Canis lupus familiaris: one gene and its partner. The protein of the gene in region 2 purifies or fractionates together with the protein of the main gene of each other region. This does not show direct contact. Links are inferred from orthologs where the notes say so. Each region holds a gene or a part of one and is shown on either strand. Other genes may lie near its edges.

What was found.
Region 1: the proteins of MMS22L (region 2) and ASF1B purify together in Homo sapiens (co-immunoprecipitation; 4 studies listed by BioGRID and IntAct, counting the BioPlex papers as one, with this or other methods). This does not show direct contact. The link is inferred for Canis lupus familiaris from reciprocal best matches to the Homo sapiens genes MMS22L and ASF1B.

What each region holds. Positions count from the first base shown.
Region 1 is NC_049241.1:48,794,278-48,800,182, reverse strand, and holds the start of ASF1B (histone chaperone ASF1B), read right to left. Parts: upstream 3,545-5,905; 5' UTR 3,077-3,544; coding exon 2,968-3,076; intron 1-2,967. UniProt on the Homo sapiens protein: Histone chaperone that facilitates histone deposition and histone exchange and removal during nucleosome assembly and disassembly. Cooperates with chromatin assembly factor 1 (CAF-1) to promote replication-dependent chromatin assembly.
Region 2 is NC_049233.1:55,967,196-55,972,617, forward strand, and holds part of MMS22L (protein MMS22-like), read right to left. Parts: intron 3,422-5,422; coding exon 3,372-3,421; intron 1,709-3,371; coding exon 1,621-1,708; intron 1,525-1,620; coding exon 1,347-1,524; intron 1-1,346. UniProt on the Homo sapiens protein: Component of the MMS22L-TONSL complex, a complex that promotes homologous recombination-mediated repair of double-strand breaks (DSBs) at stalled or collapsed replication forks.

The sequences.
Region 1 (5,905 bases), on a different chromosome or scaffold from region 2:
GAGAAATATTGACTCAATGGATAGGGGAGCTGATACAGTCATCTATGGAAAACAGCAGATGCTTGAAAATAAGGACCTAAAAACTGGATTGCCTTAAACTTGCTGAAGCGTTTTTAGTAGAAGCATACTTAAGTGGCTCCATTTTTAAAATATAACCACGGATGTCCATCACGAGTACAGCACAAACTCATTCCTTCTGAATACAGGACGCGATTGTACATGCATAACACGGTGTGCCTAACTTTTTAGGCAATTTCAAGGGTAACTTGACAATATTCAATTTTGTCTTTAGGCCCTAACTTTGCAATGGAACAGTCAACAACATGTTCTTCCACTATGTACGAAAACAAAACCAAAACTAACAACCTGATCGAAGGCATGTAAAAGTTCATTTTCATTGAAGTAGCTGGAGAATGTTTCCTGCCTTAAAACAAACAAACCAACACAAAAACTATCTAGTAGGCTTTTTTCTATTTATCACTTTGCCAGTGTTCAGATGATATAGATGAATCTTGGCCTGCCCACGGTGTTAGCTGTGGGTCAGAACATCTGGTTTCATGACTTATTCAAACAGTGGCTGTTGAATTTCTCAATGGAAGAGAGGAAAAACACATCTAATGTATTAAATGTGGACCCATGCCTAGGAAGCATCTATTTCTAGATGCTGAGGAGAAAAAAGAACCCCTTGGGAAATAGAATCAGTCACTGATTGGGGGTTGGGTCTTTTGTCAGAGCTTCAGTTGCTAGCGTCAAGGTAACGAGACTGAGATTTCTCCAGAATCTGAGAGACTTCTAAAGCCAGGCCCCCTCCATCTCTTTGGGAGGCAGGAAACGGATTCTCTCTGTTCCATGGGAAGAAGGCCAGGAATAGGCAGAAAGCAAGTTGGCAGGTCAAAGTCATGGACAGCCCTAGGGGTAGAACCAGAGTCTGGATTTCCAGGCCAGAGTTTGCTTTCCAACTTCCATTTCTCTGAGCAAAAGCTTTATTGTCTGGGTGTAATTAATAGTAGCACTCCCTTCATTTTCTTTTGAGAGCGTCCCAACGTGGAAATCAATTATTTGGTCAGTTTTATTTATGCTCCACTTCTAAAATAAGGGATGAAGGGACACCTGAATGGCTCAGTGGTTGAGCATCTGCCTTTGGCTCAGGTTGTGATCCTGGGGTCCTGGGATCAAGTTCCACATCAGGCTCCCCACAGGAAGCCTGCTTTTCCCTCTGTCTCTCTCTGTGTCTCTCACGAATAAACAAAAAATCTTAAAGTAAAATAAAATAAAATAAGGGATGAATTCTTTTTTTTCCCAGGTTATAATAGCAAAGGTAGAGAATTCTGGACTCAACTCAGAGACAAACTCTAGTGTCATTACTTCTACAGATAGGCTGTGTGACCTCAGAGAAGTCAGCCCATTTCTCTCTATTAAAAAATAATGACCAGCAGGTTGACTTTTGACTTTCCTGCTCTGAGTCTATAAACAGATTAGTAAAGTAATAGGGCAGGGGTTTTCCTAGGAATAGAAGTACTAGATAATGACTATGCAACCCTTTTTAAATGCAAGGAGCACAAACAGGCTGTTTGAAACCTGATATCCTGCCTTCTGGGAACTGTGAATCCCTTAACCTATTAGCTCCTTACATCTCCTGTCTTTAAAATTAAATTCTTATTCCACAGTGTCATTCTACACTTTAATTATTTATTTACACCCTGGCTTGTTCCAGAAAGGATTTAACTGGGCTTATTCTATAGTTAGTCACAAGTAGATTCCTTAATTTAAAAAGGAGAGAAGCTGAGAGACTGATCTATTGGCCCAGGCCAAAAGCACACACATCTCAAATTTTATCAACCCCAAACTAACACAAAAGGCTGGCTTTTCCCACAAACCACCCACCTACCACTGAGGGGCGCTAGTTAGCACACCATGGCCTCATAGATCCCCATCTCCCCAGCTGCCTGCTGCCTCTTCTTTAACCACCAAGTGAAGAATCTGTCTAATGGAGTACTTCCTCCTGAAAGTGGTGCCAAGAGTCCCTGGGCAACCTTAGATTTTCGATTTTTATAGACCTTTACTTGAAAGGTCTTTCATTCTTTGTGGTTCCTGTCTTCTCATCTGTGAGATGAGAACCATGTCCACCTTTATAACGCACAGATGAATAAGTCCATCTGTGAAAGCACCTTGGAAAAGATTCACAAAAAGTTCTGACCTCCCAGCCGATTGTTTGAAGCCAGATACCGTCATGGCTCAGCCTGGCCCCAACTCCCAGACTGGGTCAGCCCATCAAAAGTGTGGGAAGAACTGCTGCAATAGATCTGCTGGAACCTGGTGGGCAGACAGTGGGAACCGGCTGATGCTTGCCTGGTGTTGCCACCCTTCAGATATGAGCGTGTTTATCGAAGCACACAGACAGGAGGGAGGCACGGGAACTGGGGAGACCAAGTTATCCTGAAAGACTGGAGCTGGAAACCTGCCGTGCTTCCCCCCGTGGGCGCAAGCTGGTAAAACTGGGGCCAGGATAAGGAGGTGGGAAGCCAGGGTCCAGGGTATGTGCTTTGGGGGTAGAAAACAATCCGAAGTGGGTGGGGATGGGGTTGTTTTAAATATCATGCGGCTTAGGGAGGGGAGACCGGCTGTACGGAGAGACAAATGGGGAGATGGGGACGAGTAAGGTCTTGCCACGAGGGAAAGGGATCTCATAAGGATAACTGTGAGGGTCAGTCTGGGTGACTGGAGGTCTCCGCAGGTCAAAGAAGCTCCACAGGAAGGGGGAGGGGGGATGAGGAGGTCTCCGCGGGAGAAATGGGAGTAACCGTGGGGCGGGGGCGGCTTGGCCAGGGGTGTCAGGGGCAGTCTCTCAAGGAGGCTGGGGCTGAAGGGGAGGGGAGGAGGGGAATGGGGGGGGCTCGTTTCTCGTGGGAAGTCTGGGAAGGTGGGGAGGGGTGGGGGAGGGGTATCTCCACACCGGCCCAGCCTCACCGTCCGCCAGGGCCTCATTGCACTCGAAGCTGATCTCGAACCGGAAGGGGCTGTGGAAAGGGCTCGGATTCTCCAGCACCGCCACGTTCAGCACAGAAACCTTGGCCATCGCCTCGCCGGGCCGCGGCAGAGGCCACAGCTGGGGCCGAGCCCGCGCCTGAGTCCTCTGCGGTCAGCGGGGTAGCGTTACTCCCTACCGCTCCCGCCTCTTCTGTCCGCCGACTGAAGTGCGCCTTCGCTCCGCGCGCCTCCTTCAAATAGCCGGCCCCACCCTCCGGCCAATCACCGTCAGCGCTCGCCGACGGCGCGAGCACACCCTCAGCCAATCGTGGAGCGCGGGTCGGCGCGCGCCGAGACTCCTCGGGCCAATCCGTGGGGCTCCCTCGCCGGGGTGCTCAAGGGAGGCGGAATCATTTCTTGGCTTTTTTGGGTGTCCAGCGGGAACCAATCCCCAGCGTCTCCGACTCGGATGTCTGGGGGCGGGGGTAGACGGAGGCAGAGCGCGAGTCTCCTCTCGGCCAATCCCAAAGGTTCCCGCACCGGCGTGGTGCGCGCTTCGCCCCGCCCTTCCGGGGGACGCAGCCCGGCGGAGGGCAGCTCCGCCAACCGCCTAGCGGTGGCGCGCGGCGCCCGCTTAAGAGGGCGGGAAGGGCGGCGCTGGCTCTCGTGGTGATTGGCAGGCCGGCGTCTGGCAGGGCGGATGCAGATTCTCTGCGACGTGATTGGCTGGGTTGGTCGTGGGGCGGGAAGAGAGGAATACTTAGCTGGGGATTCGCCGCCCAGAAGCGGAAGTCGGCTGCCGGCGTGCTTGAGCCGCGTGTGGAGAGAGAGAGAGAGAGGGAAGGAGGAGCGTTTGTCGCCCTGGCGTCCGTTCGCAGGTGAGCGTTGCCGGGACCTTCCCTGAGGGACTCCCGGCCCCTCAGGCCCAGCGGCGGGGGAATCCGTTGTGAACGTTGGTCGCACCCCTGAGGGGAGACGGAGCGGCGGTCACGCGGCACTCTGGGACCGTGGCCCCGGGAGTCGGGCCCGGTTCGAATCCCGCTCTCGCCTCCTCGAGGGCCACTGGGAGGTTTCAGGTGGACGGCGCAGTAAGGAGGAGGACTTGGGAGTCCGGCCTCTGCCACTCAACTCCCGGGGCCACAGGCGCCCCGCCCCGGTGAACGGGGCCGTTGAAAACTCCCTGACTTGGCTCGTGACTGCATAATACAACCAGAAACTTGTCTGCACCCCTCGTCAGGGTCTGACTGCCGTCGCGCCCGGCCTGGGAGACCCCGGAGCCTCTGCCTCCACCCGCGACCCGTGGAAAGTTGACCCGAGCCACACTTCTCGCTTCACATTTTTCTAGCGAGCACGTTTAAGAAAAAGTAAAAACAAAAAACAAACAAACAAAAAAAAAACACCACAACGGTGAAATTAATGTTTTATCTTTAACCCAGGATAGTCAAGATCTTATGCCCACATACAGGTATAAAAAATACAAATGAGCTTTCTTCCATTCTTTTACTAAGTACCAAGTCTTCGAAATCCCGTGGGTTTTCCGTTGCAGCCACATTTTCTTTCTTGTTTAAAAAACTTTTTTTTTTTTTTTTTTTTTAAGATTTGTATTTATTTATTCGTGAGAGGCAGAGACACAGGCAGAGGGAGAAGCAGGCTCCCTGTGGGGAGCCCAATAGGGGGATGCTATGCCTGGACCTGGGATCATGACCTGAGCCAAAGGCAGATGATCAGCCACTGAGCCACCCAGGTGCTCTGTGCAGCTGCATTTTCGTCTGAAATAATCAGTCTGGCTTTAGTTTTCATAAAATTGGCAGTTGAAAATGTAGATCCACAGGCCCACGCTGTCTGTTTCCAACATGCTTACAAGTTTTCCAGGAGCTGGACTACATGTCAGGGTTTTCAGTGTAAACGTTAATCAGTTAGAATTCAGTGGGCGGGGGGGGGGGGGGGGGTGTGCCTGGGTGGCTCAGTCGGTTAAGCATCTGCCTTCAACTCAGGTCATGATCCTGGAGTTCCAGGATCGAGTCCTGCATCAGGTTCCCTGCTCAGCGGGAGTTTGCTTCTCCCTCTACTCTCATCCCATTCGTGCTCGCTCTTTCTCTTTCTTACTCTCTGTGTCTCTCAAATAAGTCTTAAAAAAAAAAAAATTCAGTGAGGGGGCAAGTTCTGTGCTGCAGTGGCACCATCTGCATGCAGGTGTTCATAAGCCCCTGTGGCAAGTGGCTGCCGTATTCCTGGAGAGTGTAGGACTGAAACAAATTGGATCACTCTTAAATGTGAGTTTATGAGTTTTCTATTCTTTGGATGGGAATACTGTCAGTATTGTCTTGCAGACTCTACGTGGTATGTTTCTTACTGCCCACTCCTCCCCCTGCCTCCCACTTCAGTTCAGCCAAACTGTCTTTTGGTTCCTTACAAATCTGACCTGGCATTTCCAGTGCGGAACCCCTACCAGAACCTCTTCTCCCTGCTCTTGGCATGGCTGGTGCCTTCTTGTCATTCAGATCTACCTGTTCACATGTGCTTTTCTCAGAGAAGCCTTTGCAAGGGTCCCCTGGCCCCAGTTCTGTCTTAGAGTGTAGGCCTGAACAGCACCAATTCAAGCCACTTGCATTTCTTACCTGGCCACCTCTGTGGTGGTGGTATAGTCATAAAGCCTCATGATGCTAGGCACTTTTTTGGGTGGAGGGAGGATATCTACATTTCACATTAAGTTTAAAAAAATGTTTTGTGGTTAAAAATATTGACAGTTTTTCCTTTGAGGTGATTTGGCTTTAGGAAGATCCCCGTTTATGATTAGCTATGATTTCTTGGCAGCCGTTGGGCATACTTGTGAGTTTTTGTGACTGAAAAAATCTAATTTTCAAGTTATTTCCAAATGTAATTCAACTGTTTATGTGAATACTAAATTTAATGAAGTTGCCATGATGTAATTTTCTAA
Region 2 (5,422 bases):
TATCCAGAAAATAAAGCCAGTCCCATTTATAGAAACCAAAATAAAGGAAAAATATCCCTTCCTCCATAATCTTTCCACGAATATTTATTGTCATGAATAAAAGCAATTACCTTAAAATAAAAAAAAAAAAATTAAAAAAACAAAAAGCAATTACCTATTTGCCTTCTATGGATTAGACATATGAACCTGTGAATTCACTTAGGACTCTTTATTTTTAATTTGACATATATTGGTCCCTGATAAGAAGAGTGCATTTTTTTTGTTGTTAAATTTCACAGAAATAAACATTTTTTCATATTTTACATTTTGTCAAAGACACCTTCCTAAAATCCAAATGTTATTCAAATTGGTAAAGTTAAATAGAAGGAAAGAAGTTGAGAGTTCAGGGAATCCCATGGGGAATTATAATTTGCCATTCATATAAGCTCACATTTCCTATGGAGAATTTGTTAATTACATCGATAAGCTGGGTCATGCTGTCAATACAAATTTTTTTTTTCAATACAAATTTTTATTTTATTTTATTTTATTTTTTTAATTTTTTTTTATTTATTTATGATAGTCACACACACAGAGAGAGAGAGAGAGAGGCAGAGACGCAGGCAGAGGGAGAAGCAGGCTCCATGCACCGGGAGCCCGACGTGGGATTCGATCCCAGATCTCCAGGATCGCGCCCTGGGCCAAAGGCAGGCGCCGAACCGCTGCGCCACCCAGGGATCCCTCAATACAAATTTTTAAAAAACAAACCTTCAGTAGGAATGATTTCACAGGTAGAAAAAAAGAGCATAGTTTAAATAATCTTAATCATATTCCAAAAAAGTCTCAAAAGTTACTAAGAATAGAAATACTGCTATGATTTTGAAAGTGTAACTTTTATAAGATGATCTTGAATTTTACTATAACATAATCTAGGGTTTCCCCAAATCTTTATCAATGGGAAAAATGATACAAATTTTTAAAAATAAAGGTTTTTTGCTTTGAAATTTGTACATATTTGCATGTTATAAACTAGAATTTTTTTTTATAAACTAGAATTGAGAACAGCTATCACTGCTTTAGTATAGATTTAGTATAGATTATACTATAAGTACTTTATTTAATTAATTTTAATTTATTTAATTTTCCCAATAACTAGGAAAATATACCAACTACAAACATGAGGAGACGGAAGCAAGAGGTTTTCCTTGCCCAATGGCATATAATTAGAAGAGGAGCCAGAATTTCAGTCAGGCAATCTGGTTCCCGAGCTTCACTCTTGACTAGTTTCCCTCATTCTTGAATGAATGAATATTCCTTGTGCAAAGAAAAAAACTGATGATTTAATAATTAAATGAAACAAGTCAAACCTTAATCTGGTTTTGATTTACAAATGCTCCTAGATTAATACTGGGAAGTTCAGATAGATGTCCAATATACAAAAGTAATCCATGGAGTTCATTAACCAACACAGAGGGTAGTTGTGCCTCCAAAGTTTCATAGGGATGGACAGGAACAGGACTCTCAGCACTTTGTACTTTCAGGTACCTAAAAAAATAGATAGATACAATAAATAACTAGAGTCTGGATGAACTTGCACTCAAAAATTCATGCAGGGATAAAAATATTCATTTGACATCCTACCTAAAGATGAAAACCTTGACATAATGAAGAAATGTCACACACTGCTGCCTAATACTGTCTGCTTTGCAGTGTAGGGTTGATATCTTCCCTGAAACCAAAACAGATTAAGTGTTAATCAAAGTCTAAATAGTTAGTGGGCAGTGACAAAAAAATTTATAAGCCATACAAGTAGCAATTCATTTGTGATTTCATCCCTTCCCAATTCATGACTCTATCATACATTCTGATCCAACCAAAACTAATTAGCACTTCCTGCTGCCTGAACTTTTAACACATCTCGATGATTTGGTCTATACAGTTGTTTCTATCTGGAACTCTTCTTGTCCTCAAAATTTCTGCCTACCTATTTTCTACTTCATCTCTGTAGACCCGAGATGTGGCATCACTCTGTGATGGGCACGTAAACAGCCCGTGGCTCCCACAGCAGCTTATACTTGCCACGATTACTACACTTTTCCATCTATCACGTCCTATGCTTATGTGTCTGTATGTCCTACCAACTACAAACTCGACAGATTTTTCTACTTTGATTCATTATCACCTTATATAGTACCTGGCATGAAACAGAGCCTCAGGTGATAAATAATACTCAACATTTACTGAGCACATACTGAAAAAACAAAACAGTCCTGACAGTCGACTGCTAACAACTAGGTCATGATGTTCCCTCCCAAAATATGATATAAAAAATATTATCAAAATATATCAAAAATAATCAAATCAGACAAGGCCACTCTGTGATTATGGTGAAACAAGACAAAAGCAAAATCTCTCTGTAATCATGTCTGAATACAGAAACATGGCACTATGCAATTACAGAAAAACAAACAAAATACAAAAACAAAATATTTCCCTTGTGCAGCTAACATGACTATTACTACGCTACTAATTAAAACCCTCCCTAGCCTTTCTTGGCCCTATCTCCTAGATAAAAATTAACATATTCATTACACTGTTCCTGCTTAACAGCATCCAATCAAAAATAAAAGGCCTGGCCCCCTTAAACTCTACTCCAAATCAGACAGCACAAGTGCAAACCCTATCACAAGCCCCTCTCTTTCTACTGAGAAGCCCCAATTGTTCCTCATGATGGGTGTACTTCCGTCTTCTGTCAGTAAGCTACTCAACCTGTCATTGTCCAAAGGTGTATTCCAGGTGATCTTTAGTTGCTGAGCATCACCAATAACAGATATTAGCCTAAGCACTTGAATGATATCACCTAATCCTCACAAGAACTCAATAATGAGGTGGGAACTATTCTCTGGTATGAGACTGACAGTTAGGTAGGGTTGGAACCCAGGCTGACCAGAGTGCCATGATTCTAATTACTACACTGTAGCACAATTGCCAGAAAGGAGAAGCAGTTAGCTTGCACTAAAACACCCTGCCTTTCAATTCCCTTCACCACCTTAACATATACCAAACCCCCCAAATGAGTAACTCATTAAACGTCAAACACAGAAAGAAGAGCAAAGAAGGCAGCATGAATTCAGGCAATTTCTCTCACTTCCCACTCCCAAAGCAAGTTGCTAATTCCCTTAAAAAATGTTTAGCCTTAAATCAATTTTATCACAAATACAGAAAATACTATAAATCTCAAAATTTAAGTGTCATATTTTTCTGAATGCTAAACACTATCATGAACTTCTAACCTAATGCTTCTTCCTCCATGTTACTATGATATCCCAATATGCATCATAGACAGATGTGTAATTCAATCCTTTCTGCCATTAAAAACACTTAAAACTTACCAAAATCACAGTTGGCTTGTAATAAGGTTTCCAAATTGTACAGCTGCTGCCTAATTTAAAAAACGTAAGGTAAGTTAATTTTGTAAAAGTTTAAAGCATGTAATAATCATAGGGATAATGTTTTCAAATCTATTACATAGCTTTAGTATGTGTATAACCTCTCATTTGTCAATGTTTAAAATACTTTGTGAATGTTTATTACAGGGTCAACTTCAGATAGTAAAGATGGAGAAAAGATAAAACAAGCTTTTTTGTCTGATCTTCCAAAAACCTCTATTAAAAGCTGCATATATGTATATATAATTATAAATATCATAGACCTTACTATCATGAGATATTGTTTATATACTCTCACAAAGAAAGTTTAAGATACTTATATAAAAACCCTAGATTAACAGTTATATAATGAAATGTTAAATTGTATCAAACAATTATACTACTGAAGTTCAGAAAAGGAATAGAATAACTTAGACTAGAGTTATCAAGGAAAGTAATATTTATGATGTCCCCCTTCAATACCTGAAAGTAAGCTCTTGTCATTCTTCCTAATTGCCTTTCAACTCTTTAAATATTGACCCATCTTCATGACCTATGTCCAGAATAAAGACTCAACTCATTCTATAATGTTCAGGTTTGCAGAGAATCACTCACTCAACCTGTTTCCCAATAAAACACACAACAAGGCACATACAGTGTCCCTTTACAAGGTCTCAGGGGATGAGGAGAAATCTCTCCATCTTTCCATTTTCATTTAAATGTAGCACATACATATTCTTAATGTATTTCTGGATAATAATTTCTTTAACAACTGACTCCATTTCAAAACCATGTAAAAACTAAATATGGACTGGGTTTTAAATGGTAATATTTTGTTAAATGATAATGAATGTTGTTAACCGTGATAGAGATACTGTTTATGTTTTTTAAAAGTTCATATTTTTAGAAAATGTTTATTGAAATATTTAAGGGTGAGATAACAGGATGCCTGGAATCTGCTAAAAACACTTAACCCAGAGGATCCCTGGGTGGCTTAGTGGTTTAGCGCCTGCCTTCGGCCCAGGGCATGATCCTGGAGTCCTGGGATCGAGTCTCACATTGGGTTCCCTGCATGTAACCCTCTGCCGGGATCCCTGGGTGGCGCAGCGGTTTGGCGCCTGCCTTTGGCCCAGGGCGTGATCCTGGGGACCCGGGATCGAGTCCCACATCAGGCTCCCGGTGCATGGAGCCTGCTTCTCCCTCTGCCTGTGTCTCTGCCTCTCTCTCTCTCTCTCTCTCTGTGACTATCATAAATAAATAAAAATTAAAAAAAAAAAAAAAAAAAAAAAGTAACCCTCTGCCTGTGTCTCTGCCCCACCCCACCCCCGTCTTTCATGAATAAAATCTTAATTAAAAAAAAAAAAAAAAAAAACTTAATCAAAAAAAAAAAAAGAGGAAAAGGGACAGATGAAGGAAATGAAATAAAACCTTGATGTCTATTGCCACTGAGGAAGTATGTGAAGGTTCAGTATGGTATTCTTGCTACATTTGTTTCTGTTTGGAAAATTTCATTAAAAATTTTTAATGACGTCTAAGCTAATCATATCAACTAATCATATTACTATCTGAAAGATTTTTGGAAAGTCTGAGTTCATTCTCTAAAAAAATCAATAAAAGACTATGATGATTCAACTAACGCAGTATTTTAGTTTTCTTCCAAAACTGTAATATCGCTCAAAGCCTTAAATATTTGTCTTCAATAAATGATGCCAGACATAGAATAAAAAGTCTGAAAAAAAAAATGAAGATTCACTAAAAAAAAACTCACTGAAATCACCGCTCCAAACATGACTACTTGATTGTTGTTTTTTGTTTTGTTTTTTGTTTCTTGTTTTTAAAGATTGTACTTATTTACTCACGAGAGACACAGGGGGGTGAGGGTGGAGGGTGGGCAGAGACACAGGCAGAGGGGGAAGCAGGCTCCACGCAGGAACTCCAGGGACTCCAGGATAACACCCTGAGCCGAAGGCAGACGCTCAAGCTCAACCACTGAGCCACCCAGTCGTCCTACTTGA